3 linked regions of the Rattus norvegicus genome follow. The protein of the gene in region 2 interacts with the protein of the main gene of each other region in a biochemical or structural test. Links are inferred from orthologs where the notes say so. Each region holds a gene or a part of one and is shown on either strand. Other genes may lie near its edges.

The links.
Region 1: the proteins of Tal1 (region 2) and Sin3a form a complex in vitro, tested with the Homo sapiens proteins (2 studies listed by BioGRID). The link is inferred for Rattus norvegicus from reciprocal best matches to the Homo sapiens genes TAL1 and SIN3A.
Region 3: the proteins of Tal1 (region 2) and Lmo2 form a complex in vitro, tested with the Homo sapiens proteins (2 studies listed by BioGRID). The link is inferred for Rattus norvegicus from reciprocal best matches to the Homo sapiens genes TAL1 and LMO2.

What each region holds. Positions count from the first base shown.
Region 1 is NC_086026.1:66,380,520-66,384,619, reverse strand, and holds the start of Sin3a (paired amphipathic helix protein Sin3a), read right to left. Parts: upstream 2,838-4,100; 5' UTR 2,701-2,837; intron 2,613-2,700; exon of another isoform or gene 2,354-2,612; intron 591-2,353; exon of another isoform or gene 485-590; intron 1-484. UniProt on the Homo sapiens protein: Acts as a transcriptional repressor. Corepressor for REST. Interacts with MXI1 to repress MYC responsive genes and antagonize MYC oncogenic activities. Also interacts with MXD1-MAX heterodimers to repress transcription by tethering SIN3A to DNA.
Region 2 is NC_086023.1:133,823,002-133,827,299, reverse strand, and holds the start of Tal1 (T-cell acute lymphocytic leukemia protein 1), read right to left. Parts: upstream 2,837-4,298; 5' UTR 2,566-2,836; exon of another isoform or gene 1,099-2,565; coding exon of another isoform or gene 1,082-1,098; intron 988-1,081; 5' UTR 839-987; intron 1-838. UniProt on the Homo sapiens protein: Implicated in the genesis of hemopoietic malignancies. It may play an important role in hemopoietic differentiation. Serves as a positive regulator of erythroid differentiation.
Region 3 is NC_086021.1:110,824,402-110,827,973, reverse strand, and holds part of Lmo2 (rhombotin-2), read right to left. Parts: intron 694-3,572; coding exon 478-693; intron 1-477. UniProt on the Homo sapiens protein: Acts with TAL1/SCL to regulate red blood cell development. Also acts with LDB1 to maintain erythroid precursors in an immature state.

The sequences.
Region 1 (4,100 bases), on a different chromosome or scaffold from region 2:
CTTTCAGGATATTGGCTGCACTGTCAAGATGGCTGTGCTTTGCCAGGAATCTAATTAATACCGATCTCAAGTCTTAAAAAAAAGAAGAAAAAAAAACTTCTTTATGCGAACTATTAAGGCCTGAATTTAAAAGTATTAACATTTTTCAAAGCTATATTTCTGTTTTTTTCACACGTGTATAGATATATGGGTATGCACCTGTGTCTGGGTGCCTAGGGGCCAGAGGTGTCAGTACTTGGAGCTCCAGATACATGTTGACATGGGTGCTAAAAACTGAACTCAGGTTCTCTTAGATACTAGTAAGTAAAAATAAACATATAGTACTGATGGATGGAAATGTAAAAATAGAAAAAACAAAAACAAAAGCAAACAAATATAACTAGGTTCTTGAATTTTTAAAGCCTAGGACTTGTGACTCCAGCACACAATCTAGAATACACATTCTATAAGAGTACGAATTATGCCCAGCAGTGGCGGCACATGCCTTTAATCCCAGCGTTTGGGGGGCAGACAGATCTCTTGAATTTGAGTCCAGCCTGGTCTAGAGGGTGAGCTCCAGGACACCCAGGGCTACAGTTAAACTCTTGTTTCTAAAAACAAAACAAGAAAAACAAAAAAGATATGAATTAGGTCATCTGTATTTCCCAGACTGTGCTTCAAATGGTAGAATTAACTGAGGTTAGGCAAACTTTCCTCAAAGGCTAAGCATTCTCTACTACCGTTTTCAATGTGCTACATCTGTAAGACACCCAAGTTCTTATCTTTTGGCCTCCACCTCAATTCTGTTACTACTGCTGTTGTCACTTTTTTAGCTGAAAAGTGAATATTTAACCTCTTCATTATGTACGGCACAGGGCATGGTTTTCAGCCTCTACTGAACAAAGGACAAATCCAGAATTTAGCTTCAGAAATTACATATAAACGATGGGGTTAGAGACGGCTCAATACAGACTGCAGACTGCTCGTGCAAAAGGACCTAAGTTGGGTTCCCAGAACCCATGTCGGGTGGCTCATAACCACCTGTTAACTCCACCTACAGGGGATCTAACATCCTATTCTGGCCTTACACACGCACGCACACTTTAATATAAATCTTTTTTAAAAGTGGTTTATACATACTCATTCAGACATCAATACATAAATTAAGGATTCAGTGTTTACTTTTCATAAAAAGTTCTCTAAATAAGATCAGCTAACACCAACCCACCTAATAAGGTTACCTGTGCAATAAATCCACAATGGCCAAAGTAACACAGGTTGGGAGGTCATGCTACACATAGGTTTCATAAGGTTCAACCTACTTAGCATCTAAAAAGATCTTTAAGGACTAACAATTACATAAAACTAAAAGAGAACACAAAATTTTAAGTTACCTTTGTGCAGCTAAGCTTATATAACAAAACCTTCTGTAGGTTAAAAAAAAATCAAGAAATCAAAGTATTTTACTTAAATTAAAAAGAAAAATTCTGACTAGAGGAAAAAAAATCAGCCCTGGGGTATAACCTAGTGGTGAAGCAATACTTATGTGCCTTAAATAAACTCCGACACACACAATCATCTTCAAATATCATCTCTGCCAAAGACCAGTTTTAAGATTAAGAAGTAAATTCAATCCTTTCTCTAGAAATACAGTCTCAGCTTTATAAGGAGCTGGAACGGCAAACTGAGTTTAAAGTCCTGAGGTACCAAAAATGGTAGCAAATTTTAGCTATCTACCCATGGGTGCACAGCTTAGCTCTGTTAAGGCACAGTAGCTGAACACCAAGGGAACTCTAGGAAAGGTTGGCGCCCTCCAGAATCTCAGTCTCTGAGTACGCTGCCCCTCCCCCACCGGCCACTGGCGGGGAAGCATGGGCCCAGCACCAGCCGCACCCCACCGCAGACACTCCAGAGAGGACGCTGAGTTTCTCGTCCCAATAATTACAACTAAGAGGAGCAGCTGACCACGCTTCTACTCTCCATAGCTTTTAAGGCGCCATTCACGATGCGTGAAGCAAAGTAGAGACTACAGCTCCGGGCCACGATGCCCCAAGCAGAATGGATGGAGAAGCCACAGCAGAAAGTCGGGACACCTCCACCGCTCCCAGTCTACAAGCGGCCTTCCCACCTACAGGGACGCAGGGCGGGGCAGACACGGAACCCTGACCCCTGCCAGACGCTACAGCGGGCTTTCCCCAGCTATGCTTCACAGCTAAGGAGGCGGAAATCCCGGCGGGGGCGGGGCGGGAGGGGCGTGGCATCACAGCCCCGGACGCGCCTTCCGGCCAACCGGATCCCGCTAAGGCGGGGGAACACAGGCTTCACGCCCCCTCGCCGCCGCGCCCTAAAAGCCACACGCCGGGACCCTCTTCTCGTCCCGCACACCCCGCGGACCCAAAGCAGTACAACCCGTGTCCCCGCCCACAAGGGGAGAAGGGGCGGGGCCACGGCCGCGGGCCTTTAGTCCCAGCCCGCCCCGCCCCTTTCTCCACCACCGCACGCGCGCCGGCCCCGCCTCTGATCGGCGGGACTAGGGCCCGCCCCTCCGTGCGCACCGGGACTACGCTCTCCTCCCCCTCCCGCACTGAGTGCGGCTCCGCTCCGCCCCCCACAGCCACGCACGGGAAGCCGAGGTCAGCCCCCCCGAAAAACACACGCCCTCCAGTCCCGGGTTACCCGCCACCCAGCTGCTGGGCAGACCGCGACGCGGCGTGCTCTCACCGCAAAAGCTCCAGCCACTCAGCCTGCGCGTCGCTCCCGGCGTGAGCCTCGCACCCAGCACGGAGGCCCCGGAACGGCGCGGGCACAGGCCCGCAAGAGCGGACTGGCAACCTCCTTTGCGCCTACGAAGCGGTCACAGGCCTGGGTGTCCAGACTGGGAAGGAGGGAGGGAGGGAGGGAAACTCTAAGGGGGGAAGGGGAGGGGGGAAGATGGAGAAACCGTCTCTGCCGCCTCTACCGCCGCGGCCGCTTCTCTGTTACCCGGGAAATCCCGCCCACTCTCCCGGCCCGCCCCGCCGAGGGAAGGCTTAACCTCGCTCCGCCACGGGATATATTACCCATCCGTCAATGGTTTAGCCAATCACCGTGCCGCAAAGGCCTATTCCCGCCCTCTTCCCTCGCTGGGAGGGGAGAGCAAGCCGCTCACCTTCTCCACGCCCCTATTGGCGGGGAGAGTCCCTAACTCAACCCCGCCTATTGGAGACTGATTGCCGAATCCCTCCTCCAGGCTCCAATACTATTGGAGGAAGAAGGGTACCTCGTCACATCTCATTGGAGAGTCTCACATATCCCTCCCCATACCGCCCCAGCCACAGGCCTAACAAATCGGCTCCCGCCTCCGCCGGTTCCCGCATTGGAAGACTACCTTTGCTTCTCTCATAGCCCTAGGAAGGTAAGTAACCAATGTGGGGTAAAAATGTCCTTAAGTGAGGCCGACTCCACCCACTACACTGCTGGGCCAGGCTCCGCCCCCAAAGATCTGATTGGACTATCTTGGCGCCGGTAGGAGCCGCCATTGGACACGGCGCCGGTCCAGGAAGGAGACCATTCCGCCCTGCGCGAGGATGCTGAACCTTAGCAGTCCTTTTGTGGAATGTTTACACTGGAGACTGAAGCTCAGCGTTCCAAGGCCGGGACCGGAGATGGCGCGCAGCGCAGCGGTCGAAACCGGAGGCTTTGAGATTTGAAAAGGAAAAGGCAGTAGTATTACCACCATTGGAGGATTAACCAAAACAATGACAGAAAGCCTCGTCCTTCCTACCCACTTATTTTTACACTTTCACGGTCTTCTAAACACAGCCATCTGGAGCACTCAGCAGCTACTTTCAGCAAGCCGACTCCAAAATTAATGTCTGGAGCTCTAATCTGATACAAAAAACCCAGATATTACTAGCCAGTCGCCAGAGCCGGCTGCATACTGTGACACTGGGACAACCAGAATCCGCAGCCCTCAGGGGGCGGAGATAACCCAGCGGAGGCCTTTAAATGTCACCGCCTGGGCAAGCCTCCGGAAGGCGGAGCATGAGAGAAAAAAAAATGTATTCCAGGTCGGCCGGGTAGATCCAGGGACATTTTAAACTGGAGGAAGGGATGCAGAAAAGCTCACACAGACCACTGTA
Region 2 (4,298 bases):
TTATGCAATTGTTTTTATTAAGGGAGAATGGAAAGGGGAGGGGGCTCGGGCTAGACTGGAGCACTCGACCATCACAGCTCTTTGTGCTGCAGAGACCCAGGTTGCAGCCTCAACCTCATCTTCACCTTCCAGTTGCCCCAATGCCAGCAGGTGACAATATTCACCTGAACAACGGGATCAGAAAGCTCCTTTCTGGGCGGCATCATCTCCAGCAACTCCTAATACCCCAAATCATAGCTCGGAGATTTTTTTTTAAATCTACTCATTTTTAAAAGAAATAGCGTCGGCCTTAGACTTGGCTGGCCTCCCATCCCTCCACACTCATATGCGCAAGACACGGTGGAGAAACACAAAGCCTGCACCAAAACCTAATCCGCCAGTAAGCAACGCACTATCTTTGCCACCACAGCAGTGGAGATGCGGTCCAGCACAGCTAAGGCCTTAGGCCTGAGCGGGATGGTCTTGGCCATTTTTCCTGTCTGGAGCTCCAAGCGCAGCCCCCACGCCACCCGGATATAGCCACAATAAAGTTACCGGCCTTGTGAAATGTGCTCGGAACCGGGACCATGGGAGCGGCCTGGAGGACATAATCCAACCAGCTGGTTTTATCCAAGGCCGGAAAAAGGAAAGGGCCCTGCTGGAGGCCTGAGGCAGTTTAGTGGCAGTCAGATAGCGGGTTCTTGGCCTAAGTTGGTTCCCCCACCCCCACCCCTGACAATCTTCTCAGTTCTGAGCCTCCCCGACCCCAGTCCACAACCCAGAATAGTGTTATTTCCACAGACACTGCCCCCTCCCAAACTCACCCCACCCCGCCCCAGGACTCCAGGCCGCAACTAACCTGGGGCATATTTAGAGAGACCGACCCGGCTGGTTAGGACCTCCACTCCTCCGCTGGAGAGGGGTCGAGGTAGGACCCCGGAGCTGTGTTTTCCAGGCTCTCGCTGAGAGACCAGCAGTTACTTAGCTTGCCGTGAGGTCCTACGCGGTCTGCCGCGCCCAAAGCGAGTTTCCAGGAAAGATGGGGGTGGAGAGAAAGAGGGAGGGCGAGAGAGAAAATGGGGGGTCAATGGCTGGGAATTACCTCGTGTGCCCCGCCATCCCAAAGAATAGCAAACGGCCTTCCGCCTCCAACTTGCAGGTGTTTGGAGCCCCCCTCCCCCAAACACATCCCGATTTAAAAAAAAAAAAAAATGAACCCTACACCTGACCAATCAGGAATAACTACTTAGTCCAACAACAACAGCCTCTCCCGGCAGGCTGCCCAGAACACGTTCGAACCCTCTAACGGATCTGTCTAATTCAGTATGGCCGAATTTGTTTTCCAAGCATGGACATTTCTATGCGGGTTGCTCCGATTGCCGACAAAGCACGAAAGTGTAATTCCCTATTTGATACGGATGGAGAGGACGGGATGGGGAGAAAAGAAAAGAAAAAAAAAAAAAGAGTCTTCAGGCCTTGGTTGCTGGATCAGAACCAGGGAACCCTCATCCTATTCTCTTCGTGACCCCATCTATCAAGTTCCTGCCCAGAACGAAGGCAGAATCCGGTTCCAAAGGTCCTAGTTCCCTGCAGGGATGAAAGGGAGAGGGCTATATCTGTTTTAGTTGGGTCCCTTGTTTTCTTTCTAATGGAGGAAGAGATATAAAAGAGGGCATCTCTACACCTTTTCCTCCACCACCTTTGCAAAAAGAGTTTCGATTTTTCGGGGTTCTGACTAGCAGAAGGTGTTTTGCAGAGATGAACAAAGCAAGGGGGAAGATGGGTCAAAGCAGACCCGACGCCGCTTCCAAGAGAGTGGTAGCTGGATTTCGTTTGCTTTTATTTTTTCGCCTCCTTTTTTTTTTTTTAAATTGTTTTGCCTGAGATGTCCACCATCCAATGGCACATCGAAGTCTTGGGTTAATTGCGAAGGCTTCCTTCTCTCTGCTGCGGCTTTGGCGGAAGCTCAGAACTGCCACCTCCCTGGGTTTCAATTCAGTGCGGGAGGTTTTCTTTCTCCTTTCTAACCCAGAGAAGGAGGGGAGGGGGAGACACGGAGAGTCCACTCGTCCCCGGTGTTACCTGAGGTTAATGTTTGTTTTATGAAGTGAATCTCTATTCCCACTACCTCTTCATTTTCTTTCCCTACCCCAAACCTGGCAGGTTAGGGAAGGAAAAAAAGAAAAGAAAAACAGCTAGGGAGGGGCGTTAAGACAGGACTGCTTTGTTCTTCCTCCAAAGACGCTAAAGGACGGGCTGGTGAGCTTTTTGTTCGACTGTTTTAATTAAAAGCGGGTGTTAATGGTGTTGATGACGAAGGTATTAACAATCGCAGTAAAGAGAAAAACGCGATCCTTTCTTGTCCTGCTAAGGTGGCCCTGACGGGCCCTTCCAACGTCAGCCGACTCCTAGGGCAGCTAACCCCGGTAGGGGGTTTGGACCCGACCGGGATGGGGGAGGGACTGAAAAAAATGTCTCCCAGGATGATCCGGAGGACCCCCACCCTTGGCACCAGACCTGGAAAGTGTGCCCATTGTCCTTCCCGGCCTCTTTCCCAACCGCCGCGGACGCACCCGCGAAACTGACCAGAAATAGGCGAAACCTGATCGCAGCGCGAATCCAGGCCCGGCGCTGCGGGCGGGAAGACGCTGGCCTCAGCGAGCGCGGTTCATCTTCCAGATTAGAAGAAGCCCCCACGCACACATCAGGGGACCCCGCAACAGCAAGGCACAGACGGCCTCTGGACAGAGCTGCCGCCTACTCGGCTCTGTCCATCCATCCGAGCCAACACTGGCTCCCGAATACATCATAATTTGGAATAAAATGTGAAATCCCGCTCCCCGCCCCCATGTGGACGCCCCCACCAGCGCCGCGATCTCTCGCTCGCCCTCCCCCCACTCCCGCCCCCAGCGATTTGCAAACGCACCTCTAAAGGACACAGGCACACAGGCACAGGACTCTTGGTGGACAGGACCACACATGGTCCAGCCCCAGAGGAGGGAAGCAGATGAACACACGCCAGCTCTGTCCCACAAGCCGGCGTAGGCAGACCGGCATACTGTCCAACATGACACTGTAACATCAGTCACACGCAAAGGCTCACAGACACACAACCTCACTGGGTGGGGGTCGCACCCGCCGGACATTACGAAGCCAGCCTAACACTTTGTCCAAGGCCACACACCGCGACACACCAGACCGACCTCGTAGAGAAAAGAAACGGGGCAATTTACATACAACGAATAAAACGCAGAGGGCTCGGAATCTCCACACCCAAACAGCGCAGGGTTTCACACGCCCGCACACGACCTATCGCTAAAAACCCGCGCGGGGAGTATCCACCGCAGCCTGCCGCTCACGCAAGCACTCTCAACCCGGCCGCCCGCACACACCGCCCAGAAGCAATGGAAGCCGCCAGCGCCTTGCGATTTTCTGTCTATTGCGCAAAGGGAAAAGGGGAAGGAAGGAAGAGAGTCTCCCCGGCGGGAGGGGCAGCGGAGGGGCGTCGTGGAAAGTGCCCCCCGGGAAGAAACCGAGGAGAGGGAGCCGAGGCTGTGGCGCGCTTGGGGAAGGACGGAGGAAACGGACGGGCAATTCCACGGGAGACGGCTGTCGCCTGTCCCTGGGAAGAAGGCCGGGATGCTCACGTTTTACGCCCTGGGGGCGCGCGTGGCCATGTTGGGCAGCCCCCGCCTGCGCATCGCCGCGCGCTCTAATCCCGCTCCCGCCCGCGGCCTCGTTAGCTCCGGCCGTGTGCGCCGCGGAGATAAGGCGCCGCTGCGGGCCCGCCCGTCCGCGATAAGCGCCTCGGCCATTATGGGCCAAATGATTCATTTTAATTTGGCAATTTCTCCGGAGGGAGCGGGGACTGGTTGCAGCGCTGGGCTGGCCCAGAAATTCGCAGAGGAGTAGGTTGAGCGCGTTCGCTGGGACCCAGCGGGTCCAGCCCATTCCCCACCCCTGGCCTCTCGGGATTCCGGCTCCCTACAAACAACTCTACTCGGATCTCCGCCTTCCAGATGCTCCTTCAGCGGCTTTGGCCGTTGTCTAGCCTCTTAAGACCACCGTGTCTCCCGAACCATTTCCAACCTCCCCTTCTTCATTCTTTCTCCTGTCTTCTCCAAAACCAGTGTCTGTTCCTCTTATTCCCATATCCCACCCAGCTCCTCGCTGACCCTCAACAGTGTTGGCCCCTGACTGCTCTAAAACTGGAATTGCTCAAAGATAAGAAGCTCTAAGGAGGGACAGAACAGATGTCAATAGATGAAAATGTCTCTTCAGCTCGGTTTCAGGATGAAAGCAGAACCTATGAAACAGCC
Region 3 (3,572 bases), on a different chromosome or scaffold from region 2:
CCTCCTGCTAGGAAACTCAGTGCTCAGGGCTCAAGAACAGAATGCTATTTTAAAAGTTCTCATCAACAATATTGGAGTCATGCAAAGGAATGTCTACATATATGCATACGTTCATTGAGTATCAAATGAGAACCCACTCCCAAACTTATAAGCGAATTCCCTCTCTTCCCTTAGTTCCCCTGATATTTCCCTACGTATACTTCTCCAAACCCTATCCTGCCCCCACGGAATTTTGTCCTTATTCTGAATTCCGTGTTTATTCTTCTCTTACCTTTAAAAACCTCAGTGATTTACCATGCAGGGATGTGTCTCTGCAAACATGGCCACAGCAAAGGAAGAGCTCACGGCTTCTCTGAAGAGGCAGTGGAGGTTCAGCCTCCACAGCCTAGCCTCCTTAGGCAGACACCTCAGAGCCAAAGCGGGAGCCAGAGACTATGTGTCCAAACCCAGATGTGCCCAGAAGTGTGAGGGATTTACCTGAGATAGTCTCGCCTGCACAGCTTCCGTCCCAGCTTGTAGTAGAGGCGCCGGCCCACCTCTCCCAGCCGACACCCACAGAGGTCACAGCTGAGGCAATCCTCGTGCCAGTACTGGTCGATGGCTTTCAGGAAGTAGCGGTCCCCTATGTTCTGCTGGCAGCCACCACATGTCAGCAGGGATGGGGGGATCTGCAGCACCTCATCCACGGGTTCCCTGGGGAGGGGGCCAAGCATTAGGAAAAGCTCACCAAAGGGAGACAAGCACAAGGTCTCAGGAATTGCTCCATGCTCAGGGTTCTGTGGGGAACCTCACTACATTTCCTTCCAGGAAATAAGGATAAAAGACTCCCTAACTCAGACTGCACAGACACAGGCAACCTTGGATAAAATGGGAATGGGATAGAGAGATCTTAGCATCTGAAAAATTGAAGACAGAATACCAGGAGGTGTCCAAGGCCCTGCAGATAGTGTTGGTCCCTTGCCTCGTCGGCACCTCTGATCCTGTCTGCTTCTTCCACCTTCCCTTCCTGCTCTGCTCCGTCTTCCCAGCCCTCCCTCCCTTTCTTCTTTGGAACTGCCAAATCCTAAGAATATACTTTGGGACCAAAGGAGCTGCTCATAGTCAAAGCATCTGATGACCCAGTGTGCTAAAACCTACAGATAATCTGTTGGATTCACCCTACTGAAGCCCTTCCCATTGCACAGAATCAAAGGAAGAGAAAGAAGAAGAAAGCCACCGAGATTACATCAGGTTGCTGTCTCTTTCCAAAACCGAAAGTTCCATCCATATCTAATTATTCCAACTGAAGTTTTTTGCATTCTTTCTTACATTCTGCATGAATCTTTGGCTAGAGATGAGCTTCATAGGTAGAGGGATGGCCTAACCTATCAGAGGCCCAACGGTCACCTCTCCAGTGCCATGGAAAGTGGGGACATAATCCCAGCGCATCCTGAGGCGGAACCTGGAGGAGCAGGATTTCATCAGCATCATCCAGAGGCTCAGGGCTACACTAGACACCGTCTCGAAGAATACTAGATCCGAACGAATCTTTGGGAGGAAATCTAGGTTACGGTGTGATTCTTAACAGATAGCAGACATAGTTGTTTTTTCTTTCTTCATACTTTTTCAGGGTAGCAAAAGTAGTGTGAATAAAATTAAATTAGTAAAGAGAGTGGAAGAGGGGACCACACGATGGACCTAAAGGAGTGGAAAGCGATTAAACTGATACCAAAGTCACTCTGTTCTCACAGTGATTCTGAGGGATGTGTTCTTGGATTTAAGAAGTTGTATGCTGGGAATCACAAGCTGCTTATGAGGTTAGAGTGCTTGTCGCCAAGCCTGATGATCTGATGTGGTCCTCAGGACACACACGGTGGAAAGAAAGCGCCAGCAGGTTGTTCTATATATAACCATACATATAGATATACACACAAGCAAGCGAGAGCAAGTGCATGTGCTCACACACACACACACACACACACACACACACACACACGAACAGTAAAAACTATTTTAAAGATACACATACATAGGGCCCTCTGCTTGCTCTGCCTTCCTAGAACCTGAATACTTTTGTTTTACATGTAAGAAGAAATAACTTTTCTGAGGGAAAATGGCACGGGAGAAAGGATTGTGATAGCAAATAGGAGACAGAGACACTTAATGCTTGTTGACTTGTAATAATTAATGTGCTCCTGGAACATTATTCAAATAAAACCTACTTTTAAAAAAAATCTAGTGGTTTTTTTTTTTCAAATTAAAATTAGCTTTCATTCCTTTGATGGAATGTCCGATGGCGTTTCCTCTTGGGTACCCTGGGCGACACGTCTGTGCCTCTGATCTTTATTTGGCACATTTCCCAAGTGACCTTGTGGCCCAATTGGCCTGTGCCCATGAGGCTCAGCAGCATTACAGTTGGGGACAGTGAGACTCGGGGAATGGCTGTGCACAGGGCACTCCAGCATCTTCAGGTGACCCATCCGTTGTAAATATGTAGCTAAATACTAATGCCAAATCCACCATTATAGCACAAAATATAAGATTACCTTCTTTAAGAACCAGGAAGTTCGAAGCTCAGTTTCTTTGAGAAAAACAATGATCAAGTCAAGTGTTAGGTGTCGTTTGTTGTTTCGGTGTTGACGATCAAACCCGGGTCCCTCGTCACTTTAGGTAAGTGATCTTCACTGTGATTCCTTTCTCCATTCTTTTTGTTTGCATTGTTCTTAAGGATTTAATTTTATTTTTAATTGTATGTATGTGTGTGGGTACATATACACAAGGGCAGGTGCCCCAGAAGGCCATAGGCATCAGATACCCTGGCAATGGAGTCACAGAGGGTTGTGAGCCACCCAATATGGGTGCTAAGCATCCAACTTGGGTCTCCTATAAGAGTAGGAGATGCTCTTAGCCCCTGAACTGCCGGTTCTCTCTCCACCAAGTGGGTTCTAGGGATCAAACTCAGGTCATCAGACACAGGGCAAGCACCATTAGCAGCTGAGGCAGCTCACACGTCCTTTCTGTCCCTTTAAATTTTAAGACAAGATCTCACTAGGCCCAGGCTGGTCTGGAACAGTTCTTCTGCCTCAGCCTCTCATGTATATAGAGTTACGGGTGACGTGGGCTAAGACCTTAAATAGTTTAAATAATACACTAGAAGTTGCCGGGTTGCCGGGCAGTGGAGGCACACATCTTTAAATCCCAGCATTCTTGAGGCAGAGGCAGGCAGATCTCTGAGTCTGAGGCCAGCCTGGGTTACAGAGTGAGTTCCAGGACAGCCAGGGCAAGAAAGAGAATCCCTGTTGGTGTGTGTATGGGGGGGGGCACTAGAGTCTTTTTTTTTCTATAGGGTATACATAAGGGCTTCCAGCCTCATATTCTCATATCTGAAAGTTAACCAAGATCCTTGGCCTGTTCAAGTGCACCAGTTCAGAATCAAATCTCTTCCCTTTGCATAGCTCAAGGTTTTACATTGGGCTTTCAGAATCACCCACAGGTCTTCCATCATGTTTGATGCCTAGATGGCTGATGTTATTACCAGCCAACTTTGAAAAGGAAGAATTTGCACTTAGCTAGAACAAAGCCCTCCAGAATTA